4 linked regions of the Astyanax mexicanus genome follow. The protein of the gene in region 2 interacts with the protein of the main gene of each other region in a pairwise test. Links are inferred from orthologs where the notes say so. Each region holds a gene or a part of one and is shown on either strand. Other genes may lie near its edges. The genes, in order: ccnh, afadin- and alpha-actinin-binding protein, top3b and zgpat.

Region 1 (7,965 bases), on a different chromosome or scaffold from region 2:
CTGTAAGAATTTGTTTGCATTCATTATGCAACAAAAACATTAGTGAAGTCAGAATGTTGGATGATCGGCACACCAACTCATCCCCAACTCCCAATCATTCCAGAGAACAGGTCTACTTTTCATTACAGCTGAAAGTTGGGGCGCTTTTAATCCCTCAATCCCCTGGCAAATGTATTTATACTTGTTGAACCCCCCTAAATCAATACTTAGTAGAGCCACCTTTCACTGCAATTACAGTTACAAATGTTTTGAGGTTTGTCTCTACCAGCTTTGCACATCTAGAGAATTAGATTTTTGGCTAAAATAAGCCTCAAACTGAAAGACTGAGCTAAAACAAAACATTGTTAGGGTTAGGCTACTGTATTGTATTTGTGGTAACCAGATACTCTAAAACACCTTCTGACCTTTCTGAGGCTGATGGCTTTTGAGCGATACTTCTGGTTAGCTTCATGCCTCATCTGCTCCAATGGTGCTTCATTGTCAAACGTCCAGTATTTTTTCTGGGAGCTGTTGTGATACATAGCAGGAGATTCTGTAGAAATAGAAAAAAAAATAGTGGTTAGTTTGAATAATACTGCATTAAAACCTTCTAAAAATGCATTTGAAGAAGAAAAAAAAAACTTTCAATGGAAGTCAATGTAAACAAACAAAAAAAAAAAACGCTCTTCTGTCGCTAGTGACAGAGACCTCCAGGGCTCCATACTAGACTCTATATAATTCAATTTATTCAATTCAATTCTTTATTAATGACCACACATTACACAATTCGCATGTGTTACAGCATAACATGCTCACATCTCTGTGTCAGAACAAACAACAAAAACACAAACAATGAGTTGACGAATACATACAGAGAAAAACAATCTGTTAAACCTGGTTTAGTTTACAGTAAACTGATTTTGTTGGCAGTGACCTGTAGCGTCTTCCAGAAGGTTTATTGCTGATTGTGTGATACCTCTATAATACAAGGCGCCAACGGATGGGAGGGTGTGCCCTGTGATTTTTGATGATTTATCCATCATACTTTGTTTGATAATTTTCTGCATGAATGAATGTCCAAATTACCGTAACACACTATTATAGTTCAGATGAGTATAGTTGAGATGAGTATGCTTTAAATAATGGCAATGTAAAACTGAAAAAGATTTGTTTTTCCCCAACTCTGATTTTTCAGTTGTTTGAGGAAGAACAGTATTTTATTAACTATTTGTAGATTTGATGTAAGTGATTGTGTTAATTATGTAAGTACCCAGAAATCTGAATGAGTCTCTGGTGATATAGGTCAAAAGGAAATGGGTATTTTATATGTAGATGAACGTCAAAAATAAGCTAGAAGTTCCTGTGTTTTTAATATTAGCATTAGCGCTAGCTAGCTGATAGCAGCTAGCTGTTTTTAACTGGATTTTTTTTTTAGCAGGGTACTTAGCTAGATTAGCTAGCTAAGCCTAAAACACCGACTGTGGTGTGGGTCAGTAATATATATGGGACAGTTAGTTAGCCAACCTAGCTAGCTGGCTAATGGTTTAGGTTATATAATTAACCTAGTTTATTTAGCTAGCTAGCTTGGCTAGCTAATGTTTGACTAAGCTAGCTAATGTTAGAGTTAATTCCTCCTGAACTTGTGAATTTAACATATTTGTGGCACAATTAACACTAACTAACGTTAACCTAGCTAATACGTGTAGGGTAACTACGGTTAGCTTAACTCATTCATATCAAAAACACTTCTATATTCTCTATATTCAATTTTTTTTTAAATAATTACTGAGCGAATAGAGCGTAAAGGTATTGAAGCTCATTCCCGCCACTTAAAATAATAAAATAAATAATAAAGTAAACTGCCATCTCATTGTTTTGAGATACTAACTCATTATTTTGAGAGACTTATTTTGAATTAACGTTACTAAGGCTTCCCCCAAAATAAACACACTTGTTATCCCAAAATAATGACTTATCTCAAAATAAATTGTGCTGGATTTTTTAATTTTATTTCAGGTGGCAGGAACGGGCTTTCATATAGAGACTTCAATGCGCCACTTAAGGGATTGTTAAGGGGTGTGAATGTGTTTTAACCGGGCATAGAAACTAACGCTAGCTAACTAACGTTAAGTGATAGAAACATTCTTATGATACTCCCTTAATATAGCATCTGCATCAACATTTATCATGAATTAATAATACACTATCAACTATCTATAATAAACTAGCACTACAGTCTGTTAAAATGCCTTATTAAACCAGAACAGTAACATAAGCTAGGTTATATATTGTGTTCAGCATCATGGTGAGAGCTAAACAGTGGTAGTTAATATCTAATTCCCCAATAAATCCTTTATTTACTTTCATTTAAAGGACAGAATTATGCAACAGACAGCACAGAAAGCAGCTGATCTCTCTTACCTGAGTTTAAACAGGGCCTGAAGTCAGAGTTTAGAGCTCATCTGATCCAAAAACCCAAAAACACAGAGCAGTGCTGAAAATAAAACACAGCCAGTTCACTCCTTCTTCCTCCGCGGACTGAAGATCATCTACACACAGTTACCGCCACCTACCGCACAATATCCGACCACTGCAGTGTTTAAATTATACACAAATTTAAAATATATAACATATATCATATGTAATATATATTCATCAAGGTTTTGACCTGTTCTTATGTTCACGAATACTTTATTATGAGAATAAAAAGAAAACAACTGAAGAGAAGAAGAAAAACGAGGAAATAAAGAAATTTAAAAAAAGAAAATAACAGGAACTGTGTTATTGCAACAGGTGGCAGTAATGAGTGAGGTGACATTAAATGGAATAACACGTGTGGTTTGTTTAAGTAGTTTTAATGCTGACACGGGCGTTCTGTTTCTATTTCTGAAATTATTCAAAGTGTGGAATTATGTGCTCGTTCAACAAACCTGACAAATAGGTAAGTAAACAAATAGGCCAGGGAAGATGTGGTTACATATCTGCTGATGTCAACATTTAATTTCTGTTAAAATAAAACAGAAATTAGACCAGATCTACACAGTACACAGAGTATACTACTACTACTACTACTACTACTACTACTACTACTACTACTAATAATAATAATAATAATAATAATAATAATAATAATAAAAACAATAATTATAGTATTGACAATAATAATAATACATTATTAGATTAGATTAATTTAAGATTGTTTTTTTTTGGAAACATACTACAACTACTACTACTACTAATAATAATAATAATAATAATAATAATAATATTTTGTGTTTTGTTATTATTATGCACAGTATTTGTACAGGAAAGCAAACCTGATCTTTCCTAATTCATTTTCCCGCACTTTTAAAAGTCTACACTAGAAGGGACTTTTAAGCGGTTAAAGCTGCGCATGCGCATATTTCGCCACTCATTCATCGTTCGTGCGTGGGTAAACAAGCATGGCGGAGAAAGTACGGAGAAAGTACTCGATTGAGGATAAGCGCAGACTGCTGGAAATGTACGACCGGCTCCCCAACATGAGCCAGAAAAAGGCGGCGATGCGCCTGAACATCACCCAGTCCGTGCTGTGGACGATCCTCCGCAACAGGAACATTATAATGAGGGGAGAACCGCACCACGTCCGCTGCGGGAAGGTGCCGAGGCTGGAGGCCGCGCTGTGGCGCTGGATCGACGCGATGAGGAGGCGGGGCGCCGCGCCGTCCGACCTTTTGATCCACAGGAGGGCCATGGAGCTGGCGGCGCGGATGGGGCTGACGCAGTTCAGGGCGAGTCCGAACTGGTACCGAGGCTTTAAGAGGAGGGAGAAGACTGTGAGGGAGCTGTACCACGTTCAGCTAGAAGAACAGAACCAGACGGAGAGACCTCAGCCGGGCAGTGCAGCAAACCTCCTACAGAACCTCCAGCAGAACCCCCTCTATAACCCCCTGCAGCTGAACCAGCAGCAAAAAGAGGAAATGCAAGTGGTGGTAAAGTATGAGGGCCAAGTGGAGCGAAGCGAGCTGCTCTCAGTGAAACTCGAGCCCGCCGATCCCACCGTGGTCACTGCTGAGATCAACGGGGGCATGAAGACCATCACAGTGCCTTCCCTGCACCAGATGAAGGAGGCCATGCAGACTCTAGCCACCGGCCTGTTGTACAGAGGCTTCTGTGACTTTAAGCTGCTCCACCAGTTCGAGAAGGAGGTGGCTAATGTTGTGAAGAGGTCCCTGGCTCAGGGGAGTCGAGACAGTTTCCAGGCCTGAGTGGGATGGGGGGGCTGTGGGTCCTGTGGTTTCACGGCTTTATGGTTTCATGACTTAATGGCTTTGTAAAGAAGATCTTGTCAACACCATCTGTTGGGGTTATGGATTTGGAATGATGATCATCATTTGTTGAGATCCAGTCTAGATTTTACTTTGAGGTCAAGATTGTATTGATTCCTGCCTTATATATGGGCTAAATAGGGGCACAGTATAAGAGTTTTTGGCCAAAGCAGATTAAATAAGTTCATATATGCCAAATCCTGATGTTTTTTTAAAGGTCTATACTAGCTTTTGAGAGAGACAGGCCAGTTCCTGGCTTGAGTGAATGGGAACCGATGTGCCCTGAGATTTCATGACTTCGTCAACACCAGCTGATGGTGGATTGATGATCATTTGTTGAGATCCAGTCCAGATTTTACTTTGAGGTCAGGATTTTGATTCCTCCCCTTTTTTATGCGTTAAATAGGGGCACAGTATGGCATTTTTTTTGGCCAAATCAGTTTAAATGAGCCCCTATAAGTCTAATTTAGATGATTTTAAAAGGTCCACGGTTTACAAGACTGCTGAATAATAACAAAGGAGTTTTATGGTTAAAGAAACCCTGGTGTTGAAAGCTCACTCACAGGGCTGAAAAACAGAGCTTCAGAACATCTCATTTAATTTAGATCATCGCATTAAGATCTAGTGCAGTTTTAATGCAGTTTACATTGGTTCCTGCCTATATATGGGTTAAGTAGTGGGGCAGCATGGGTGTTGTGGGTCAAAGCAGATTATATTATATATATATTTTTGTACCTTGTATCTCGAAATGTAAACACGATCTAAATGGATGAGCAAAACACTAAGATATGACATTAGTGGAGATCTGTATTTCATCATCACCTGTAGCAGTTTGAAATAGAGAGGCAGAGGACCAATGGTAGATTGTGTGTGGCTGGAGGCTGATTTTTGAGAGAGGTTTTCAGGCCAATCTTTTCAGCAACTCCTAGCCTGCTGCTATTTTATCTTTTTTTACAGTGTATATCAGGCAGTACTGTTCATTGTGCGTACTTACTGTAGTGTAAAAATGTCATGGTTCTATAGAACTCTAACTACAATTATTTCAGTGAGTGCAATGCTAGCTGCAGATACAGCTTTAGGCTAACATGCTACAGTTTCTTAGCCAGTTTAGAGCATGGGTGGGAAACCAAGGGCCAAAGTTCAGTAGAGTTTTTCCTGCTTAAACACTTCTAAACAGATTATTTGCTAAAAAATTTAGCTAAATACCAGCTGTGGTTTAGCTGTTGTGTGATACATACCATATTAACTCTTTCTATGCTACTTTTGATTATATATCTTGGAAGTCTTGCTTGATTCTAGGATTGACATATTGTGCATATTAGAAATTCTGGATGTAAGCAGTTTCTCTCAATAAGAATAATTCAATGCCATTTACACTTTCCATTGCTAAACAAGTTGCTTTAAGCTCAAAATGGTTAGTGTAACGTTTACCAGTTGAATTGTCTGACTGTATCAAGCTAAATTCGAAAATTGGGCGTAAAACTTTTTTTTTCTTTTTCATTCAGTAGAGTAAAGAAGAAATGGGTTTTTATATATATTTCTAGTTTTTAATTTCAGTCTTGCGCAAATGGATTTTCAAGAAAAATTCTAAGTGAATCTTTCTGAATTTTTTTTCCTCAGATTTGTCCATTTTTGTATCTTGTAATCCTGATGGTATAATCCAACTTGTAAAATGCGAAAATGGAAAAATCTGAAAATAAAGATACATTTTTTTTCATTTGTGAGGTACAGATATTAAAAAACTAAATGTGGAAAAATTTATACATTTCTTGATCAGTGCACCACATTAAAAAAAAGTTTGTTAAATCTAATTTTCTATTTTTGAATTTAGCCTCAAACACTCAGGAAAAAAAAACAATAAACGTTACACTGACCCAAAATAATGGTGCTTCTAAGGGAATTTCAAGTGATATATAATTTTTGGTTTGATAAAGGGTAAAAAAAATCCCACTACTTGAAACTTTTTTAAAAGGTTCTTTACACGTATATCCCTTACAAAAACGCTTCTGTATGGATTGATAAGTATCGATAACTTAAAGAACTCTAAATACCACTAGATTCCACTTTGAGTTTCTAATAAGGCCATGATGTCCACTACAAAATGGCTAAAGTGGTCTGATCATCATCTACAGATGACGAGATGACAAATAATTACTTTTTTTTTTTGCTTTTTTAGGTTTACAGCAGGGGGTGTTATTGAGGGCAGAATTCTATCACAGTGTTTTTCCAGCTCAAGCATGTTCAGTTCAATTTAATTTACCCATTTATTGATTGGTATGGTTTGGCCGTAAATACACTACAATACTTTCAGGGTCATCAGATCATTGTATCATTGAATCTGATGTACTATTTATACTACACAACCTGTTGTCTTGTCGTTGGGAATTGAGGCATCTGTGATCACCCTGCAGACTCTCAGATCAAACCTAAACCTTTTTTTTTTTTTTTTTTTTTAGCAACCAAGCCAAATTTAGGCTTTTAATTTGTAGTCTTCAAAAAGCGAATGGCATTTGAAAAAAAAAATGCTAAAATGTAGCTTGAACCTTGTGTTAACTATGTGTTTGAGCTAGTAAACTCGATGCTTGATGTTCATGGGCCTTGGTTTACAGAACACACGTAAAGCTTGAATGTATACGTCTACATATTTTTTAAACTTTTGATACTCTGTCAAAAATTCATAAATTCACTTTTACAGTACTGTATTGCAGTCCTCCTCTTTCTGGATGATTTTTGCAAATGTATTAAGTTTTTTTCTAATGTAACTGTTTATTGCCCTGTCTGTCTATTGTTGGAGGAGCCTGTTTCGTCTTTACTTTATGAGGACACTTTGGGTCAACTTTGAATGCTTCTTTTTGGATTTCCATGACAAAATATGGACTGAATATTGTAAGTAACACTAGTATGTACAGGTTAAAGCTTTGATGGACCCTTTTCAAGTCATCTGTGGACATCAGTTCGAACTATTTTGGAGATTTGTGTTGCGTTTTACGGCATTTTCAGAACATTCCTTGTTTTTTGGGCCCAACAGTCTGCTATTCCATACTGCTTGCTGCTCTAGTTTAGGGTATATGGATGAGGTGGGATGTGTAACACTACTAAGTCATAGTCACTAGAGGTCACTGTTGTCTTCAGTTTGAAAGTATTACTATTATCTTTTTTTTTCCTGTTTTTAGACTAGTTTTAGTGAATGAATGATTGGTTGTAGTTTTTAGTTCTCACACACATCACATTAATTTTAAATGACTTTATGCATTTTATATTTTTATATAAATCAGTCTTGAGGGGAAAATGATATGAAAAGAAACTTCACAGAATGAGTGTTTGTTTTAGCTGCTTATACATACTGTGCCTTTGTGTCTTACATGACTGATCTGGACAAATGTGTCGAGAACATAGCAACATATATTACTGGATACTGTTAGACACGTTTTGATATGACTGTTTTTTTTTATGTTTTAAAATCGGCAGAAAACATGAATGTTCAACTTTTTACAGCCTCTGTCTTTTTCTTGAATGTCATTGAAATGTTACTTTATTTCAGCAATTCTGTTCAAAATGTGAAACTAAATTATATAGATGTATTACACACAGAGTGATCTTTATTAACTGTTATTATTCCTCTACTGACAACTTTTATGTGGATGTGGATGCGGATTTCATTGTCCAGCAGGACTTGGCA
Region 2 (7,278 bases):
GGAAGTGTCTGTGAAACACACAAAAAAAAACAGAAATAACTGTGGTACAAACAATTCTGGAATTATTTTGCTTGGTAAAAATACAGTCTTAGTCATGGTTTTGTGTGGGGGTAAATATCATGACAAAGATGACAATGAGCATGCTAAGTTTTATCGAGGTTAGTAGAGACACATGAACTTAAAATAGTACTCCAGTGTTATTTCTGGTTCCTTAATTTATTCCCTTTACACATGAGACTATGTCTATGTAGAGCAAAAGAGTCATACATACACTGTATGGAATGTCAGTATGAAGCTCTGGCATAAAACAATGAGTTTAAAAATATACACAAATCAACTCATTCATATCTTTAATCTTACCATTTACCTATGAAGTGTTTTAAAACTTTTGCCATGCCTCATGGAAGCTAAAGAATGCTGATTTAAGCAGCAGGATATTCAGAGCCTTCTGTGTTAATTGTTGATGCGATTTGGATCATTTTAACCCATTATCCACTGTGAGTAGTCATGTCTTATAGGACATATTCCTGGTACACAGATAATGCTGTGGACCCTCGCTCAAACGATTAACCTATTAATAACCTATTTTTACCTATATTAACCTAGTAATTATTTCCTTTACTAAAGAATCCTCAAAGTGCCATTTTAATAAGTGCAGTTAATACTGTGCTTCTGTGAAATAATTAAATATGTTTTTAAGCATAATACTTTCATACAAATCATAGTATTACATATATTATAAAACAGTTTCACCATATGATGACTCTGGCATCTTTCCAGGCTTCCATATATCCAAGGAGCTAATACTGTGTGGATTAGTTATTTAGCGGCAAACACCTGCACAGGTACCCTGAAAACAAAGAGCATGTTAGCAGGGCTTTTCACGTTACTCCATCACTCCATTGCTAACATAAATCCAGCAATCTAACATAATTCCACAATCTTAATAATGTATAATAATACATACATACATACATGCACTAACAGGACAAAAGTTATTTTTTCCTCTGAAACCAAGGATATTAAAAAGAGTTTATCCTGAATTTGTTATTGTATAACTGTCTGTACATACTTTAAGGAACCTACATAGGCCTACTTTAGTCAGACTAATTATATCAAATTCTGAACCAAGTGTTCTAAAAGCATGTTTTTCATATATTCAGCCATGTTGAAAAAATAGTATACATAGTAGACATGTGCAGAACACTGTTATTTTTCATACTTTTGCAGGCTTTACCCTAGCTGTAGTTCCCATGATGCAATTTTAGTATACTGGGGACGTCTTTAACATTCTTTGATGCTTGGAAGGATGCTTCATTTTGAAGAAAGTAATTAATCATTTGAGAGCTAGTTTGAAGAACAAAGCTTAGTTGCAGCCGGCAGATGAATTCCATCACACACCCGCCAAATGTATTTAAAATGGGTTTGCCATATCCTATCGTATGCAAGAATTTCACCAACAATCTTAAATACTGGTAGCACAAAAACACCCTGAAATATTGTGATCACACTCTTCTCATTTACCTTTAAATATCTATTAGAAACAGATTATACACTGCCTGGCCAAAAAAAGTTGCCACCTAGATTTAACTAAGTAAATGATCTGGGGTTGCAGCAGTTGGTCAGGTCTAACTTTTTTTGGCAGTGTATCTTTCCAGTATCTTTTATTTTACTTCAATCCTGGATAAATAGGATGTTGGACAAATGACTTACAATGTTACAATGTTGTAAAAATCTTAGTTAGGGGAGTGGCATATTACATGTATCTTATCATTCATATTTTGTTGCAGCATGTTTTTTTATTTATCTTTATTTTTGTATTTAATGTTGTATATCATTATCGCAAAAAATACCCTGAAATATTGTTATATTATTTTAGGTACATATCGCCAACCCCTAGTATTTAACTATAACACTTGCTTTACAGTAACATACAGCTCTGGAAAAAAATAAAAGACCACTTAAGTTTCTGAATCAGTTTCTATGACTTTGTTATTTATAGGTATATGTTTGATTCAAATAAACATTGTTGTTTTATTCTATAAACTATGGGCAACATTTTTTCCAAATTCTAAATAAAATAGTCATTTAGAGCATTTATTTGTAGAAAATGAGAAATGGCTGAAATAACAAAAAAAGATGCAGAGCTTTCAGACTTGTAAAGAAAACAAGTTCATATTAATAAAGTTTTAGGAGTTCAGACATCAATATTTGGTGGAAAAAAACTGGTTTTAATTACAGTTTTATGCATTTTGGCATGTTCTACTTCACCAGTCTTACACACTGCTTTTGGATAACTTCATGCCACTCCTGGTGCAAAAATATATGCAGTTCAGCTTGATTTGGCTTGTGATCATCCATCTTCCTCTAGATTATATTTCCAGAGGAAACTCATCATTTTTTACAGAGCTGTATAATCAGTCTAACTAAAGCAGGCCTATAATATATGAATGACATCAGCACAAATAACACGTTTATAACGATTACTGTAACGTTTGTACATATAGTTCAAAATATAATCAAGCGCTAATAGTACCGTTATCCAACTGGTTGTAGTAGCAGGCTAAATGTTATGAGACCTGGCCATCTCTTCAGACTGACTGCGCTAAAACCGGCAGTAAATATGTGTCCAGAATCCAGTGAACGAGGCTACAGGAACTGTCAGGTTGTGCGTGGTACTCTTTTAAGCATGTTTAACTGTATAATCTGAGCACACTCACGGCTACATTCAGGACACATGCGCAGCTACATATAAATCCGTGCCTGGCTGAGAGGACGAGGCTCACTTACTTGTCTTTTTAGCAACGAAGAGCATCACCAGGGCATCTGGGGTATTCCACGTCGACAGAGGTTTTAAAGAAACGCCTTAGAAAAATGGTGAACCGCCTTTAAACGCTGTGCTGATTTTGTACCCGGTAATAACATTAAACTGTATCTGTAGCTCCAGCTGGAGGTGCTGCAGTTCTGGCTCTTCTACAGAGTGCCAGTTTCAGCTGCAAAACGAGGACAAGCAGCGACAAGCATTGCGTTGTCAGGCAACGAACAGCGGCCACCTGATTGGCCGCTTACCTCGTATAACCCAAGCGTCAACCAATGAGCTTCGATGCGGGCTTTGGATGGCAAAAAAGGCTTTGTATACAGAATATATAAATATAAATCTGTAATAAATCAGTGCAATGTGTCTATAATAAAGTGTATAGTCAATGATTGATTAACAAAATATATATGAATATTTTCATATATTATTTAACATATACAGTTCTGGAAAAAAATAAGAGACTACCTCAGTTTCTAAATAAGTTCCTCTGATTTTGCTATTTATAGGTATATGTTTAAGTAAAATGTTTTATATGTATAAACTACAGACAACATTTCTCCCTGATTCCAAATACAAATATTGTCATTAAGAGCATTCAAAGAAAAAAAATCAAAGAAACTCATACCTTTCAAGTGGTCTCTTATTTTTTTCCAGAGATTTTCTCTGGGCACGCTATGATGCTTTTTGGCAATGCTACATCAGCAGCTGTTCGAAATGCAACATCAGTTCAAAAAGAGCCAGTGGCTTACGGAGAACGGAGGCATGTGCTAGTCTTCAGGCACCTTGTGTTGTGGCATCACTGGTGATGAGGAATATACAGCTGATTAGCAGCTAAATGGGTGGGACAATCAGCCTAGCTAAATAGGGGAGAAAATGGGAACTAGAAATAAATTATAAATAAATCTTTTTAAAAAAATAGCCTGAGATGGGCAAGTTTATACACAGGTATATCATATGAATTCATATAATACTATTTTTAAAAAAGTAGTTATAATAATAGAAAATAATAAAACGTTATTGCTAAATATATACAAATATTGATAGAAATGTAAATTGTACACCGCTCATCGGACAAGATTTTTCAGTTTAACAGCAGGGAGAGGATTTGATTGCAAACTTTCTGAATCATAAACTTAACTCTGAATCATCCCAAATGGATTGAATGAAGTTTCAACAGTCCAGAGAATGTAGCTGCACTGCCCCACAGTCCAATGCTGGTGGGTTTTACCCCTGTCTAACTGACACCTTTCTGACCTTAGGCATCCTATTCCACAGACAGAGCGTTTTAATGGATAATATACAAGCTGAACCTATTTGTCAGGAATAGTAGCTGAATTCAATCATTAGAGGTGGAATCTGGATACATTTTGGCCTTTTGTGTGTATGTTATTGTATGTAACACAAAGCTTAAGTAATAGACCGATAAATTGAATTAATGTGTCAGGCTTTTATGAGTCAAAAATCTAAATGCATTTAATGTTATTTAATTCTCTGTTATTCGTAAAACGGAATTCACATAATACACAGTTTATTAATTATTAAACACAGATATTTACAAATTACATCAGCAAGTCTTGAAATCCTGGAGTGATTAATCTTGAGCTATGCATAATTTCAGAAGGTAACAATAAAAGCATAATAAATACAAATGCACAATAATTTATGCCACATCACAGAATGAATAGCGTCCGAAAAAGCAATTATTTTGCCAATGTTGCGATGTTAGATTTCATTTTGCATGATACACTTATCAATACAACGATCAGGACAGGAAGGTAGGCATATTCTCTAGACAGTGGTGTTAGCTGCTAACTGGGACAGGACCACACTGTGGCTCTTCATCTTGAAGGAAATGATCCATAGGGCTTTTTTTAGTCTCCAGCCACCAAGTTGTCATCTCACCTTTGCCCTGTAAGACAAACGGTTACAGACAAGCAGTAAATCTTCCCTTGTCGTGTCTCTGTTCGTGAACATCGCCATTAAAATTCAGAGAGGGGGATTCTATTTGTCTCTGAATAATGAATGAGGAGGTAGAAGACACTGTCCAGAAGCCAGCTGAGACCAAGCTCTAATTGAGACATAGCACAGCTGTGCTAGGCCCAACAGCATTCTCTCTTGGGACCCTTGTCATCTTTCGTATGTTCTCTACTGGACAATCAATTAATTTCTAGGATATGCAGGGAGATCAGCTGAAAATAATTATGATACATTTTGAGAATGTTTTTTTTTACTCAGTTACTTGTATACATAGTAAGGGCATAGTGAATAGCTGCATAATTTATGCGCAACATTTTACGTAAAGGCTGTGAGGTTTAAAAGGGGTTACCATGTAAATTATCTTGTCAATCTCTGAAAGGGCGCATTCCATGAGAAAAGGTCAGTTATCTATAGCAACCACAGTGAGTCAGCTACAAAATCCTGCCCCAAAAATGATCCCAAAAAGGAATCCTAAAAAAATTATGTGCATCTATTCTCAAACAATCCTAGTAACTGTAATGTAGTGTAACATTTGTAAATATTTGCTCCATTGCTTTTAGTAGCACATAATGTCTTAAATTAAGTTTCACTTTCACTGTTTGCAAATGATGTAAGCAATCTTACCTTCACATTTAGACTGCCACGACAGAGCAGAACGTATCCCCCAAGAGTGTGGAGGAGATCAGCTGTGGATTCACTGCACTGAATCTTTAAAGCTGCCAGAAGATAATATGGCATTTAAAATTGTAATACTGTAAAACATTAGGTGCTATGTTCCACTTAAGCAAGTACCAAATATATATTTAGGATAATGTATAATGCCATGTAGAAAGACCACATTTTGTTTTTTAATTAAAGAAATTACAGATAAGCCTTTCAAAATATAAGTTAAATTTATCGTGTCCACACTTTAGGTTTATTGCAGCAGCAGAAAATCAAAAATCAAAATCAGAAAATCAAAAAACAAAAATCAGTTACAGAAGTTGTTGCATTTTGTGCTTCCCAAACATATTTAATAATGTCAAGGTCTGGACTCCTGGATGGTCAATCCATTGCTCTGAGGACTTCAATTGTTCTTATTCTCTTTTGTCTGTTTGTTTTTATCACTTTGACCTTCTTGGTCAACTCCACATACTTTCATCTTCTCACAATTGAGCAACGAATAGAAACACCTGTGGATGTTTTCAGATCAGAAGCGAAAGTGGAGCTTGTTTTCCTCCTCTGTCTCTCTGTCTAGTGATGAAAGCTTTCAGTGCTGTTTGATGGAGATTGATACCAGGTCTTGCATGGTTGTTAGGAGTCCCATTTTAAATGGTTTTCTTTTGAATTCTACTATCCTTGCAAACAGATGGCTTATATCTAATTCCCTTAAGAATATGAACTTTTGACTGTAAAATTCAATATGAATATTTGCCTGACTTTTGTACAGTACTGTAAATGTAATGGAATGGAACTAACACAAAAACAAGGTTACTAATATTATTGAGAATATCTTGTGGTCACGTGCAATTAAAAGCATTACACATATACTATCAAGGGCTTGGTAAATGTCATTGACAGTATTTGATGTGACCAAATAAGTAAACCTCATTTAATGCCGTCATTCTGTCTCCAAAACCATTTCTTATCAAAGGCAAACATAGCAGCAGTCATCTGAGCTGATCATTAACCTAGTGTTTACAGGCCACCCTTCACTCACGTACCTTCACTGGTAGACTCCATGCGGGATGCTGTGTTCACAGTGTCTCCAAACAAACAGTAACGTGGCATTTTAGTGCCGACCACTCCAGCCACCACAGGACCTAAACCAGCCACCAGACACAAACATTGCCTTATATACCATGAGTCAAAGTAAATACATTTTTCTGCCTTGCAACAGATAAGACAAACAAACGTAAAACTAGTTTTACATCCTGAGTTGCAGAGGATCATAATGCATCCTCATAATGCAGAGTAAATTTGTCAGAAAAAATGAGGCAAGTAGCAGAAAAGTCATTTGAACAGTATTGTGACTATAGCTCTGTATGTAAAGAAACCAGCTATTAATTTGTATCTTTCTTTAAAAAATATTGACAATTGTTAGCCAATTTACAAGGCATCCTCTGCTTCACTGGTCCCAAAGTCAGTCGTGGAGACGTTTTGTATTTCCATACTCAAACACACCTCTTCTAGGTGTCCTGTTTCTAGTCTGACCTTCCCTTCCAGTGCCCAAGTTGTGTTCCAATAATCAAGAACACATTTCATGCGTTCTTGCTTTGCCACAAAAACTGGGGATGCACCACTTGGTGCATCCAGCATTTCTCTTGAAGTAGTGGCAGTAAAATTGCCAAAACTGGTAAGCTTTGGATAACAGTTATACAGGTGCATCTCAGAAAATTAGAATATTATAAAAGACCAATTGATACTTTTGGCAGTGTGGGCAGTGCGCCAAGTTCTGCTGGAAAATGAAATCCGCATCTCCATAAAAGTAAATTTTACCTTTC
Region 3 (7,369 bases), on a different chromosome or scaffold from region 2:
ACAGTCTGGAGAAATACGATGCTGAAGTTACCTACCAGCCCAACAGACTCAATGAGCGCAGCCTGGCTGCATGGGAATATGTGTGAGTATTAGAATTACAGTCTGACTTTATTAGCTGCTAGCTATGCATTTTTAATCTTATCCCTAAAACATACTGGTTAATAAATTCTGTAACATAATTATAGATACAGTAGCTTGTACAACCACTTTTAGAGTAGGGATGCACAGAATATAGTAAATAGTGAGCAGTGCAACACTAGTGCACTTTCCCTCCAGTTTCACCCACTCGAACACAGTTCCACTGCTTCACAGATCAATGCTGTAGGCATTACACACTCTAGCCAACGCCTGGCTCATGGTTCATGTTTATCTGCTCTAGAGATTCTATTCTATCGTCAGCATCTCAAAAGTGTATGTCTGTGTGAGCAATTTGCGCATCTTAAAGTAGCTGAATCACTAGAGGTGATTGGTCCCCTATAGTGGTCCCTGTCCTGTCACTCATTTGTTTTATGCACAGAAAAATATTCTGTAAAATTGGGAAGCAAATTTTATGGAGCTAATTTTGTGCTGAATGTTTTACTCAAAAATATTTTAAAATTAAAATAGTAGATTATATATATATATATATATACATATATATATATATATATGTATATATATATATATATATATATATGAGCAAAAAATGAAGCAGAAGACATTATCTGCAAATTCCACAAAAACACAAAAATAAAAGCAAAAACTGTCAAAATTCAAACACAAATAACTTTCAAATGACTGCAAAGACTAATAAAGTAACCAATTATATTTAGAAATATATTTTTATGTTTTGAATTTGCAGAATACACTTTTTAATTTATTTTTTTATGTAAATCTTTTGGCACAAAATTAACTCCATAGATTTTTTAAAATAAGTGTTTGAACATGATGTGACTGATGAAATAATACTTGGCCCCTCTATAAATATTGTGGCCCCAGAAAAATCCAAGATCCACCATAGAGCTGAATGCATTCACTAGAAGGAGTGTCCACAAACTATTGGACATACAGTATAATGCAGTATAAAACACTCTGACTGCTTCTACTGTTTTGTGTTTTTGATTTATAGGGAAGTGAATACAGACGTGAACCGGGTGCCTCAGGTCATCTATGAAGCTCGATGCCTCACAACTCACTCCTGTAACGGGGTGGACAGCACGTCCAGCGTGGAGAGCGTCCCCCTGTCTTTTAGAATGCCTGTTCTCCGGAAGCACACAGGATGCCCGTTCTACTCCATTGAGTTTGAGTCAATTACCGTTGCCTGTATATGTGCCACATCCAGAAAAAACTAGCCTAATAAAAACTGCCTGTTAGCTTATTATTACTTATTATAATTATTTATTATTTATAGTTACTATTAGACATTTCTGTTGCTGTTCATGTTCCCTGCACCAACAACCAGCTGTTTCAGATCTACCTATTTATTTTCACAATCAACACCATCCGGAATGCTTGTGTCAGTTCAGTGATACCCTGCAGAAAGCTTGAAAATATTAATGAATAAAGAGTTTATTACAAATTCTTAATAAGATTTATTTATTTTTTTTGTACTTTTTTTCCCATAACTATCAAGAATCTATAAAGAAATGTTTATACTACTAGAACTACATAAGCCTGTCAGATTAACTTTTTGTCTTGACAATATATTGTTCAAGAGATAATTGTGATAAATTAAATAAAAATAATAGCATGACAATGTAAAAAGAGCTATTAACTTTTAAATGTCAAACAATGCTAAAAAAATGTGTAAATCAAATTAACTAAAAAAATGAGTATTGTAAAAATGATATATTTTTTTAAAAAGAGGAGGTTATTTTAGCAAACAACTGGTTAATTTTTTCTTTAGAGAAATTACAGATGAAGCCAGAGAGCGGTAAGTACTGTTTTCTACACCTTCAAAAAACTCAGGGAGACGTCTGGCTGACCCACATGGAAACAGCTTTAGACTTTAGCTCTGATTAACATGACTGGACTAAGTTGAATTAGAGGTCTGACAGGTAAAGAGCAGTAATTAGGTCATTGATAAGATGAGGAAAAAAAAACATAAATAAACTATATTGCCCGTTAGGGGTGGGCGATATGGCTCTAAAATAATATCACGATATTTCAGGGTATTTTTGCGATAACGATATACTTGGAGATATAGGAAAACAGAAAAATAATTAATTCATTTCAGGAATATAGTATATAAGAGTATAACAGAATAATCATAATGTGGTAAAATAAATAATATAGCATAAAATAATATAATTCAGCAAATAATATTGCAGAACATTTAGTGCATGCATATAAACTGCAAACTAAAACAATTATACAATAAATAACGTTACACCTAAAGCTTCACAGTAAATAATAGACTACTTTTAAGACACAGAATATCACGATATTTTTGTATCACAATATATTGTACATTATATAATATTGCCCGTAAATGTATAATTTAGTAAAACGTATTTAGAAAAGAGGGTAACGTTAAGTTAGCTAGCTAACTAGAGAAGTTATAGCTGGCAAGCTAACTTAGTTAAAAACTAGGAATACTAGCTAGTTAAATAACTTTAAATAAATCTGTTAAACCATGTTCAAACAAAGCTTAGTCCGCTTTCTGGAAGATTCTGGTGTCTTCCCGCTGTAGAAAACCCTTCCTGTGAGTAAAATACTGAATAATTAACGTTATCTAACCTATCTATAATAACTGCGATAGCTCTATGTTATATTTCTTTACCTTTAGAAAGGATCTTGGCTATTGACTGAGCCAGGGAGGGCTTCTCAGCCACCATCAGTACCGTCCTCATCTCTGCGCTGCTGCTGCTGCTTTTCCCGCGTAATTATATAATTATTGTTAATTGAACACAACCAGCTGCTTTCTCCCAAAAATAATAAACTATATTAATATAATAAACATTCTCTACAAAGAGCCAAACTGCAGCCTAGTGACGCCCAGAGCAAGACTTTCAACATCCGGGTTACGGCGTAACAAAATAAAAGTTTTAGTGAGTTGTTTAAATTACACATTACATTTTTTTTGTTTTTAATAGTAGTAGTAGGAGTAGTATGTATGAATGTAGACCACTGAAGAGACTGAAGGATGGGAATGGATTTTTTTTTCTTTCATTGTGAATATGTAAGGACAAATGTTTTAAAAATGTATATAATTACATTATTTGTTGAACTATTTTTTTTTCCATTTTTTTATAATAATAATAATAATAATAATAATAATAATAATTAATGTATTGGTAGAATGAGTATGTACAAATGACTAATTTACAAAAAACAATTAAATTGTTTATTATTTTATCATTCCTATTTCTCTTCAGGTTGTGTATGTATTTGCAAAACTATAATAATAATAATAATAATAATAATAATAAAGTTTTAAAAGGTTAAACCCTTTCAGACTTGAATTATGATTAAGTGATGGAAAAATGTAAGTATGCTATTTTTTGCCTGTGATAAACCCAAAAGAAGTCTCTAATATCCTCAAATAAACTGTATTTAAATATTAAACCCAATTAACTAAATATTTTATTGCTTTTTTAATGCCTTTTGCACTGGAGTCCTGTGCTTAACATTTTATTTGATATGTGAAAATGATAAACCGTTTATTTTAAAAACCATCCCTAATCCTAAATAAAAAGAGCTATAAATCACATAAAATAATCAAAGACAGAGCTGTCATGCCATAATGTCTGCGTGTTTCTTTTGTGCAGTTGGCTACTGTTTAATTGTCTTATAAACTTTTTTTATTGGCTGGTTGATGGTCTATACGGATGAACAATATGTCTCAATTAGTGTTGTGTGCAACAAAACATCTTTAAAATATGTAATGTCCATTGTAATGGTCGCAAAGTTTTTTGAGAATTATCCATGCAATGATATTTTGTAAAATATTTTAATATTATATTATTATTTATAAAGGCTCATCAGGGGCCAATCAAACCGCTTTATACGGAGAGTGGCGGTGGCGGGTTGCCGCCGATAGGTGGCAGCACGGTACCGGTCTCAGCGCTGACTGCATATCCTCTCAGAAACCTGAACAGCGGAGTGTCGGCAAACCACGGGTACCACAGCAAAACACAACACATAAAAAACACATAAACTACATATTTAATTCAATTTAACACACTTATTTTACCTTAAACACCTTACACTAATTTTCCTGCCGCTCTGTGTGGCTTAAGGTGGCTTTTAACTTGGTAAATGGCGTTGGTAAAAGGCTAATCTGAGATACTTAGCTAAACAAACAGTAACTATACTCTCTAGGTTAGCTAGCTAGTCAGCTAACGTTAACTGTTATTTTTAGATAAAACAAGTAAATTGCTAAATTACACTGAATTTATCTATTTTAATATTGAATTTAAGTTTCTATTATTACCTATACGACAGGTAAAACAGTTTAAAACTAAACATATCTGCACAAACTTATAAAACTCGTGAAATCCGTGGTTGTATCGTTAGCCTAATTTAGCTTAAATTGCTAATGAGGTTCCAGCTAGTAGTTTAATTTGTTAACTTTTAGTGTTATCTGATTTAGGCATACTTACCTTTTTACTGCTTTTAAATGCACTTCAGTCAATAATCTTAAGTTATTTCCAGATATTCAGTAATTAATTATTTTTGTGTTCTGTATTTTAGCTAATAAAAGGCTCATAAAGTAGGCCTGTATATCAGAAAATGAAATGACTCAAGTAGAAGAAATATAAATTAGTTATATAGTTTTTTAGAAACAGGAAACACAATACAGGGAAAAAATAGTATCTACAATAAATACCTAATTAAATATTAGTGATGCACAAAATTGGAAATTTGAAATATACAGCTCTGCAAAAAAAAAAAAAAAAAAAAGAGGGGTTTCTTTGATTTTACCAAATTAAAAATCTCTGGAATATAATTAAGAGGAAGATGGATGATCACAGTCCTCTAACCAAGCTGAACTGCTTGAATTTTTGCACCAGGAGTAAAGGCAAAAGTTATCCAAAAGCAGTGTGTAAGACTGGTGGAGGAGAACATGCCAAGATGCATGAAAACTGTGATTAAAAACAAGGGTTAATCCACCAAATATTGATTTCTGAACTCTTAAAACTTTATGAATATGAACTTGTTTTCTTTGCATTATTTGAGGTCTGAAAGCTCTGCATCTTTTTTTGTTAATTTGACCATTTCTCATTTTCTGCAAATAAATGCTCTAAATGACTATTTTTTATTTGGAATTTGGGGGAAATGTTGTCTGCAGTTTATAGAATAAAACAACAATGATCATTATACTTAAACATATAAATATGAACAGTTAAATGGGAGAAACTGATTCAAAAACTGAAGTGGTATCTTATTTTTTTTCTAGAGCTGTAACTACAGTACCAGTCAAAACCGTGGACACCTCTTCTCTCGTTCAATGTGTTTTCTTGCTTTTTATTTATTTCTCACATTGTAGATTAATATTAAAGACATGAAAACAATTAAGGGACACATATAGAATTATGTAGTAAACAATAAAAAGGTGTTATTACTCCACATTAATCCCCTGATCTAAACCTGATGATCAGCGATGGTGATTTGAGGTGATTGAGTTGAGATGAGCTGGAGCTTCACAGCGTGAAGGAAAAGCAGCAACTATTGTTCAGCACCTCCAGGAACTCCTTCCTTCAAGGTGCTGAGAAAACTATTCCAGGTGATTCTCCCTCATGAAGAAACTGAGATTAAAATACCAAGGGTGCGCAGATCTGAACTCAAAGATAAATATAAATAAATATGTAGTCTTCAGTATTAAATTTACAAAGTAAAAAAATCATAAAAAGTAAGAAAACGCATTGAATGAAAAGAGGTGTGTCCAAACTGTTGACTGGTACACTAAAAAAATTATACTATTTTGAAAATACAGAAATTTATATCAGATTCTCCTGATCCAACATGAAATGATAAAAATGCACTCTGTATATTAAAGATTAGTAACATAAATTATATCAGGCAGATACTGTATATTCTGCCTCTAATTTACATGTATCATGAAAAGTAGTAAATTTTCAGCATAATGAGTATGATATAATTTGTTTGAATGTCATTGGACATCCTGCTCTACTGTGCATGCACACATTGCAAAATTACTGCTGAAATTATATATAGCTCTGGAAATAACTAAGAGACCACTTCAGTTTCTGAATCAGTTTCTCTGATTTAGTTTTTATAGTCATATGTTTGAGTAAAATTACCATTGTGGTTTTATTCTATTAACTATGTACAACATTTCTCCCAAATTTCAAATAAAAAAGTCGTTTAGAGCATTTATTTACAGAAAATGGGAAATGGTTGAAATAACAAAAAGATGCAGAGCTTTCAGTCCTTAAATAATGCAAAGAAAACAAGTTTTAAGAGTACAGAAATCAATATTTAATGGAATAACACTGGTTTTAATCACAGTTTTCGTGCATCTTGGCATCATGTTCTCCTCCACCAGTCTTACACACTGCTTTTGGATAACTTTATGCCTTCACTCCTGGTGCAAAAATTCAAGCGGTCCAGCTTGGTTTGATGGCTTGTGATCATCCATCTTGATCTTTATTATATTCCAGAGGATTTTAATTTGGTAAAATCAAAGAAACTCATCATTTTTAAGTGGTCTCTTAAATTTTTACAGAGCTGTATGAGTTGTCCAGCCCTTCTAAATACTGTAAAGAACTGCACTGAAGCTTTTAAATACATTCAGCATGTGTAAGCTACAGCAAAGCAGTACAGGTGCTTTCATTGTTACATAATGAAATTTGAATTTGAATAATAGTAAGGATTCATCTTAATTGTTTCAATGTTTAAATTAGTAAAATATTGATTGTTTTTGTCTGAGATATATAGTATTTGATGTAAAAGTATTATCATTCTGAAAACACAGTAAAGGACAAGCCAATAAGAAAATCGTCTTATAGTTATTTACGTTAATTGAAGTTCAGACTGTGAAAGACAGAAATAAAAACTAGAAGTCTTAAAATATGGATAAGATTTTTTTTTTAAAGATTTTTGCTAAATAAAAATAAAATAATGAAAATAATAAAACAATTTACACTTTTCTTTTATTATTTTCGAATTCTGCCTTATATGGCAAGACAAAGCATTATACTGACCTTGCTGAACCAACAAACTGCTTGACTGCTACACTTTTAAAATAAAATAATATAGTAAAGAAGAACATTTAAACCTTGTAAAATGTTAATGTGTTAAGCTTCTCTACCAATTTAAAGCAGTGAGAAAGAGAAGGAGAAAGAAAGAGAGAGAAAGAGCACGGTGGTGGAGGTGGAGGTGAGTCATGGTTAGTGTAAGTGACTGATCTATGGCCTGCGGTTCA
Region 4 (7,689 bases), about 3.2 Mb from region 2:
AATCAGCTTAAGTCACACGCTAGACATTATCCTAAAATAATCTGACTAACTCAGAGTGTAGGCGATTTTACTACAGGTGGCTGCAACATCATGAAGTTAAAATTTTGCTAAAGAAAAAAATGACTTGCGATTATTTTAAGAAGGTGACAAAATGTAAATGTAGAATGCATTTTCTATAGAGTTTTTCATGGAATTAAGTATTTGGTGAAAACTTGCCAATAGTGTTTTACACATGGACATATCAGTGTTGTTTCATTCTGTCTTTTATCACTTGGGAAATAGTGGAAAACTTTGTCTACTTGAAGATTGAACTTGATTTATCAAGATACATTTAATTGTAACCCCTGTATTGTGATGCATGTTGTATTTCCAAAAAACGTTTATGCCAATAAACAGGCTTTTTTTTTTGTTTGTTTTTATTTAGCTAGAATGCCATATATTGAGAAAAACAATACAGCTTTCTGTCTTTGTGTTCTTTTATGCATCACACCTTCTAATCTCAATGTTTTCTGATGTTCGTGTTTACATATATTTATTTTTTCCCCTCTCTCTAGGGCTCTACCAGTTTATTCGACCACACCACAAGAAGCAGTTTGATGAGAAGTGTCAGGTGCTTACAGGCCAGGGCTGTGGCTACAAGCATGAGCACTCGCTCTCAAGGGAAGAGAGGGAAACCCTCAGACAACAAACAGGTAGCATGTTGTAACTGTGGCATGGTACCATGCATTATAGTTTTTTTATCTTTTAAACCAAACACATCACATAAAACCAGCAAAAAAAACGTGTAAAACTGATGTGAACCGATGGCTACTACTTCTTCTTTTTTTTTTTCTTTTTTTTTTTTTTACAGTAAAAGCGGAAACTACTGAAAAAGCCACAATCAAAGAACTAGACTCGAGCAAACAACTGAATCAAGGCGGCTCTCATTTGGGAACACACAATTTGTGTGGTGGTATGTACCCAAAATCTGTCTTAAGCTTTGCTACTCATGCACTATGTTAAAAAATAAAAAAATGAACACAAATATTGCAATGCTATTGTTCCGTCTATATCGTTCAGTCCTTTTACAGACTAATGTCGCAAAAAATGCTAATGTTGGTCAAAATAGTTGAACCTATGTTGGTGAGATCTTGTTTATTTTTAGATTAGGGTCCGTATTAATATAACATGCGTTTTGTGTCAGTAGAATAATTCATACAAACTCTGGTAACAATACACTCAAAAATAAAATACGTTTTTGTAATATAAGTATGTTTTCTAAAAGTTTTAAAGATATATAATATATAGTAATTTAGACAGTTTAGACAATTATTTATTTAGCTTTTTCATTAAAGAAGAAACATTAACCACTCCCCAGTAATGGATTAATATGGTCAATGCAGTATATGTAATGTAAATTTTTTTTGGAAAAAAAAAAGTTGCCATAAGGCTGCAGATGTGAAAATGTACAAAACTATTGTCAAAATAGACAATTTACATAAAGAATGAAAGACCAGATTTCACTGAAACACAAACAGACTAACTACTACCAAGAAAACATATATTTTATTCCTTTCTCATCGGTTTTACTTCATTTTTATTGCACAGTGATTTAAGGCATCCTCCGTGTTAATAGTTCCTTGTTCTGTATACTTTTTTTATATTGAAGGCATAAATAAAATGTGATAATTTTAATATCAGAAGTGATAACAAAAGAAAAATTGTACATTGTAAATGTCAATTCTTGGAAGGACACACTTCAAAAAATAAAGAATTACAAAAAAAGAAGTTAACCACTGACATCCGCGTGATCACAACCCTCACACTGTTTAATTTTTAATTTAATTTTAATAAAGGGACTGAAGATACTTTCTGAATGTTCAGCAAATCTTTGTATCTTTTGAATCAAAATAAGTGTATCCTCAGCTTTGAGTCAACCATGCTTTCATTAAATTAATTCTATTATTTAAATTGTCCACCCCTGTCATGCAGCTTGCCATGACAGGGTGAACAAACACATGAATACATGCAAGTAAAAATAAAAAAGTGGCAGAGGTGGGTTTCTGTGTAGTCTGAAGTCTTATAAATATGATAAATAGTTAGAAGATTAAAAGTATATGCCAAAAAACACAAATAATGACCCACACACATATAAATAATAAACTAGTTTGCTGGAATAAGTGTTGTGTCCTCAATTTTCAACCTCTTAAGGTCTAATGGTACTTCTAATGTGGTATTTGCTCTATTTTTCTCCATTTACAGTGGGTGCAGTGAAGGATCAGAAACCACAGAAGCCACAGACGTCAGGAAAAGATGGCCAGTTCAGCGCTACCCTTCTGTCCGACATTAAAAAAGCTATTGGTTCTGAAAAAACCAATCAACTATTTATAGCGTTGCAGACGTACAAGAAAACAAATAATTATGAGCAGATGGTATCAACAGTTGTGGGATTGCTGACAGAGCGGGACGAAGACATTGTCCTTTTAAGACGTGAGTTTTAATCCCATACCCAGGAAAACATTTTGCTGTTTCTTATAATATTATAAATAAATATAATATTTATTTATAAGAAACATACTTATTATAAATAAGTAGAGAAATATGAAAACTTAACTGCTACTTTTGCTGATGATTTTCTTTTTTTTTTCTTTTTTTGTTTAGGGTTATCTGTGTTCATCCCGCCACACCACAGTCAGCAGTTCTCTGAGATGTTAAAGTCTTTGACTGGCAGTGCTTCAGTGACCTGTGAAGAATCAGAAGAAGCTTCCAGTCACCCAGTTCCAGGTAGAATTCAGGGCCTGCATTTAACATACATCACAGCCTAAGATCAGAAAGTCCTTTAAGCACTACTGTTTAAGATTATGGTCGAGTCCTATATCAGCATTCGTACTCGTAGGACTTTAATAAATATGGGCTCAGATGATATTTACACAGATTCCATGGATAAGCACAACATGTATTTGTTAATCCTTATTGATTTTCATGAAGAAATCATTATTCATTTCAAGTCCAAACCTCACATGTTCTGCAGTAGATTCAGCTTTTTGAAAAACAAAACATTGATTTCTTTCATTCTTCATTCTGTCATTATATTTTAAAATATATTTAATAGTGGAAGTATAATGCAATATTGATTTAGTCTTGTTTCATTTGTCTCCACAGCATCACAACTCTCAGCAGGAAAATCACAGAGCAAGATATCATCCTTCTTCTCCTGACCAGGGGAATCCAGCCAGACATACTGATTTGTTTGGTTAAAAGTAGAAATACCATCCGATATGCAGATTAATTAGGATTAAGTGAACTCTTTCTCTATCAGAATGACAAAAAAAAGCAGGATTTGTTTTGGTTGTTTATGTAATGTTTCATTGACCAAAGATGAAAAATTATGTATGATTTATGCTATCTTAACTATTTTAATAAAAACAATGGTATTTGTGTTTTTTCAAATTTATATTAAAATATATATTTGTACTTATTTCTTGTCTCGTTTCCCATTTGTGGATAATATTAACTGTGACAAGGCACATTGAAACTTTCTGAACCTGTGCTGGATAGTTATGTAAAGTAAATTAATGTAATTTACTGTAATGTAATTAGGCTATGCCTGTATACATTATTTGAATAAGTAAAGCAGTACAATAAAGTAAAATGTATTTATTTGCCTGTTTTATACAAGTTTTTATTTATTTAATATAAACTCAATAAGTTTATCTAATGAAAATTGTTTGTGTTATGTTTAGAATATTTTAATAGATACTAGTGTCCAAATAATTAATGACATTATATTAAAGGCAATTGTTATTTTTAGAGTTAAGATAAGGGTTATTTTCATGTAAAATGAGTAGATTAAGCAATTGAGTCTGGTAAAAAAAAAAAAGACAGGATATTAAAAAGCCATAATATCTTTCTATAGTCAAGGCAAGTACATTGTACTTTTTGTTACGTAATGAATGGTTCAAAGGGAGTATTTTTGCATTACCTCAAATACATGGTTTAAATCATTATTCCTTTGTCCAATCCTGCTGTTCATGTTTCTGCTTTTTTTTTAAGTTTCATTTGTCTCCACAGCATTACAACTCTCAGCAGAACAAATAAAGATATTAATAATATACTCTATATCTAGGTAAATGTATGAAAAAAGCATATTATATCCCCAAGGTTCAGGTTCACAGAGCATGTGAGTGACGTCGCTGAGGTAGTGTCTCTGTGGGCGGTCAGAGTTGCCAGGTTCGCGTTTTTTCCTCCAAATTTGGCTTGTTTTAAAAATCTTTTCTCTTTTGAAATTTTAGGGGTGGCGGGGTGCATTTTTTTTGGGGGGGGGGGGGCTACTTAAAAAAATAGCGCAGCCGCCAAAAAAAAAAAAAATTAACAAAAAAAAAAAAGATATCACAGGGCGATGAAAATAAAATATTAAAGAGGAGAGAAGAGAGTTCAGGAGGGGCAAGAACAGTAAAAGTCATTTTTTGCTAATTATGTTACTATTAAATGTTACTAATGTTACAATATTATTAATGACTTTTAGGTAAATAGCAATACTAATAATAAATCCCTTATGAACAAAATACTCAAAGTGTACAAAAGTCGTACACGTATTGTTTTTTGTCATTTACTTCAAACGTGTAACAGACATATTTTGGGCTAGTTTAAGCTTCTGAAGGGCGGGTTTAAGACTGAGTTAGGGCTGCATATTTTCGTTGGACTTGGCAACCCTGGCTGCTACAGAGCCGCACAGGGCAGCTTTAAACTACAGAAACGCAGCAGAGTTTATTCGCTCGGACGTGAACACTATGTAACGTAAGATATAAATACTGAGTGTTTTTTTACTTCTTATTTAATATCTTTTAATGAAGACTAAACTCACCAGGCTGTTAAACAGCTACTATTATCTTAGCTAAGCTAACTGCTAGACAGCCAAATGCTAGCTAGCTACAAGCCGGGTTTGTTATTAGCTTGCTAGGTTTAGCTAGCTCACTGTGTTGAGGTAGTTATATGGCGACTTCCACAGATATTCTTAGTTAATTTTAGATTTAAAAAAACACTTTTGTTCCACCAGTCATGTAGTTGGTTACTCTAATTATTAGCTAGAGTGGTTTTATTGAAGGAAGTGAGCTGGTTAGGTAGTTAGTTAGCTTGATTTGTGGAGAAGGTCAGAAGGCAGAAGCTCGTCAGTAAAAATGTTATTCTGTAATATTTTGGCGAGACTATCTAGCTAATAAAACAAATACTACGTTTTGAATGAGATACATGTACTTAACTATCAAGGACATAGTGCTGCCCATAGGCAACAAACCACATTTTTTGTTTTTCCATCCATTCATGTATCGTTAATATCTGTCTATCTACTTATCTACCCACCCACTCTCTCCCTTTCCTTGTTCTTTATATCTATCCTTATCCCTATCCCCTGTTTAATTTGTCTGTAAGAGACCACGTCAGTTTCTCTGATCTTGGATCTATAGGTAAACGTTTGAGTAAAATAAACACTGTTGTTTTATTCTATAAACTACAGACAACTTTTCTCCCAAATTCCTAATAAAAATAATGTCATTTAGAGCATTTATTTGCAGAAAATGAGAAATGGCTCGAATAACAAAAAAGATGCAGAGATTTCAGACCTCAAATAATGCAAAAAAAAAAAAAACGTTTATTTTCATAAAAGTCCAGAAATCAATATTTGGTGGAATACCCCTGGTTATTAATCACAGTTTTTATGCATCTTGGCATGTTCTCCTCCACCAGTCTTACACACTGCTTTTGGAAAGCTTTTTTCCACTCCTGGTTGCAAAAATTCAAGCAGTTCAGCTTGGTTTAAGAATCAAATAAACTCAGAATTTTTTGCAAGCTGTATTAATATGTGCAAAAATATATAATTGGCTGTTTATATTCTTACTGTTTTTGTAAACTGTTTTTGTTGCCTTTTTAAGTTGTACCACATTAGTTAGATTAAGCTTGATGTAGCAGTGGTTCTTTTCTCTGGTCCTACAGACCACCTTCTCGCCTGCATGTTTTGGGAGCTTCCTTGCTCTAAAACTCCTGATTCAAATGAATAGCTTGTCATCATAATTCTAAATCTAAATTTAAGTTTGTTATATCCACAGGGACTTCCATGCTTTCACAAATGATATATTTTCTCCCTAAGAATACAATTAATGGCATAAAGGATTAAATCTGCCTTTCTGTCTCATAACCATAATTACACTTTGCATAACATATACAACTTGTTTTCTCTTATACCCAAGTCAATTACAGAATAAAAATGTTATATAAAAGCTTTTACTGCATTATTCTCTTATTCCTCTTTATCTGCAGGCACCTCCTTTCATAGCTCCCTACCATGGATGAAGGCAACCTGCAACAAGCCATTGAGACCTACAATGCTCAGCTTCAGCAGGTAGAAGCTGCACTTGCTTGTGGTCTGGGTGCTTCAGAGCAGGCAGACCTGCTGAAGTTAAAGGAGGATCTTGTACAACTTATTGAGCTCACTGAATCCAGCTTGATTTCAGTCAAGAAGAGCCAACTTTTTGCCTCAATTGAGGATTCCCAAACAAAGCAGGAAGCGCCAGCAGAAACCCAAGAACTGTCCAAGAAGAATAACAATTTGGATGATGAGTTTGCAGCCTTTTATTCTGGACTTTCTGAAAGTGCTGCGGAGGTAGCACAAAGCCGCGGGCCTGATGATGATGAAGAGGAAGTGGATGATGAGGAGGAGGAGGAGGAAGAAGAAGATGACTACATGAGTGGTACTAAAGTACGAGCACCTTATCGCACCTCTTGGGGAACACTTGAGTACCACAATGCCATGGTAGTGTGCTCAGAGGAACCAGATGGGGATGAGGCTCGAGTGAGAGTCCTTTACCTCTATCCTACACACAAGTCTATAAAGCCCTGCCCTTTCTTTCTGGATGGCAAGTGCCGCTTTATGGATAGCTGCAGGTATGAAAACCTTATTTTTTTAATTAAGTTTAATTATTAGTTTGAGTTTTTCATTTTTAGTTTATATAACCCTGAGATTGGAAATGGCACCAATCTGTTGGTGTTTTGTTTTTCATTGGGTATTTTGCACAGAATTTAGATTCATTCAGGTGGAAGCATATTTGCATGTGTTATTGTACTGGATTGGTTTTGTGATTGACATTTCAGCCATCTCTGGGTAATATGGAAATAATAAGCCGCCTCTGCCTGTCTTTTTGTTTGTTGTCACTCAGGTACTCCCATGGGGAGGTGGTATGTGTGTCCGAGCTGAGGGAATTTCTTGAAGCAGATCTCACACAAATGCAGGCAGGATCTTCGTGTTTGGCCAAGCATGAAGACGGCATCTGGTATCCTGCCAAAATCACAGGTACACCTCCTCAGCCGTTCTGTCAAGATTTATTTCAACGTCAATGATGAACATGGCAGTTTCATGCTTAATTTTTCTGTATAAATTTGTTTTTATTCTTTTAATTTTTTTTTTTACTTAAATACACATTCACAGAGATCGAGGATGGCTTCTACACGGTTAAATTTGATTCCTTGCTGCTAAAGGAAGCTGTCCTTGAGGCTGATAGTGTTATTCCCCCTTTGCGACCGGATGAGTCCTCCTCTTCCTCCTCTGACTCGGAAGATGACTCTGAGGAATGTGAAACAGGTTATGCTAAAGGTTTGTTTCTTTAAGTCTGTGTGGAGAATCCCCCAGGAAAATTTGAAGTTGAAATGCTCACACCAATC

The links.
Region 1: the proteins of afadin- and alpha-actinin-binding protein (region 2) and ccnh interact in binary tests that used the Homo sapiens proteins (3 or more experiments, as listed by UniProt). The link is inferred for Astyanax mexicanus from reciprocal best matches to the Homo sapiens genes SSX2IP and CCNH.
Region 3: the proteins of afadin- and alpha-actinin-binding protein (region 2) and top3b interact in binary tests that used the Homo sapiens proteins (3 or more experiments, as listed by UniProt). The two-hybrid records come from large-scale screens. The link is inferred for Astyanax mexicanus from reciprocal best matches to the Homo sapiens genes SSX2IP and TOP3B.
Region 4: the proteins of afadin- and alpha-actinin-binding protein (region 2) and zgpat interact in binary tests that used the Homo sapiens proteins (3 or more experiments, as listed by UniProt). The two-hybrid records come from large-scale screens. The link is inferred for Astyanax mexicanus from reciprocal best matches to the Homo sapiens genes SSX2IP and ZGPAT.

What each region holds. Positions count from the first base shown.
Region 1 is NC_064429.1:21,849,710-21,857,674, forward strand, and holds the start of ccnh (cyclin-H), read right to left. Parts: upstream 3,007-7,965; 5' UTR 2,401-3,006; intron 533-2,400; 5' UTR 522-532; coding exon 405-521; intron 1-404. Other genes in the region: uncharacterized protein LOC103035564, read left to right, coding at 3,423-4,226. UniProt on the Homo sapiens protein: Regulates CDK7, the catalytic subunit of the CDK-activating kinase (CAK) enzymatic complex. CAK activates the cyclin-associated kinases CDK1, CDK2, CDK4 and CDK6 by threonine phosphorylation.
Region 2 is NC_064423.1:20,581,935-20,589,212, forward strand, and holds the start of afadin- and alpha-actinin-binding protein, read right to left. Parts: upstream 3,020-7,278; 5' UTR 2,791-3,019; intron 851-2,790; 5' UTR 773-850; coding exon 754-772; intron 1-753. Other genes in the region: atrial natriuretic peptide receptor 2, read right to left, coding at 4,620-4,727, 5,420-5,511, 6,499-6,597. UniProt on the Homo sapiens protein: Belongs to an adhesion system, which plays a role in the organization of homotypic, interneuronal and heterotypic cell-cell adherens junctions (AJs).
Region 3 is NC_064429.1:30,942,075-30,949,443, reverse strand, and holds the start of top3b (DNA topoisomerase 3-beta-1), read right to left. Parts: upstream 3,007-7,369; 5' UTR 2,832-3,006; coding exon 2,762-2,831; intron 1-2,761. UniProt on the Homo sapiens protein: Releases the supercoiling and torsional tension of DNA introduced during the DNA replication and transcription by transiently cleaving and rejoining one strand of the DNA duplex.
Region 4 is NC_064423.1:17,419,866-17,427,554, forward strand, and holds the start of zgpat (zinc finger CCCH-type with G patch domain-containing protein), read left to right. Parts: upstream 1-4,671; 5' UTR 4,672-4,776; intron 4,777-6,291; 5' UTR 6,292-6,316; coding exon 6,317-6,915; intron 6,916-7,187; coding exon 7,188-7,321; intron 7,322-7,456; coding exon 7,457-7,621; intron 7,622-7,689. Other genes in the region: rtel1 (regulator of telomere elongation helicase 1), read left to right, coding at 555-692, 851-952, 2,242-2,469, 2,641-2,763, 3,142-3,197. UniProt on the Homo sapiens protein: Transcription repressor that specifically binds the 5'-GGAG[GA]A[GA]A-3' consensus sequence. Represses transcription by recruiting the chromatin multiprotein complex NuRD to target promoters.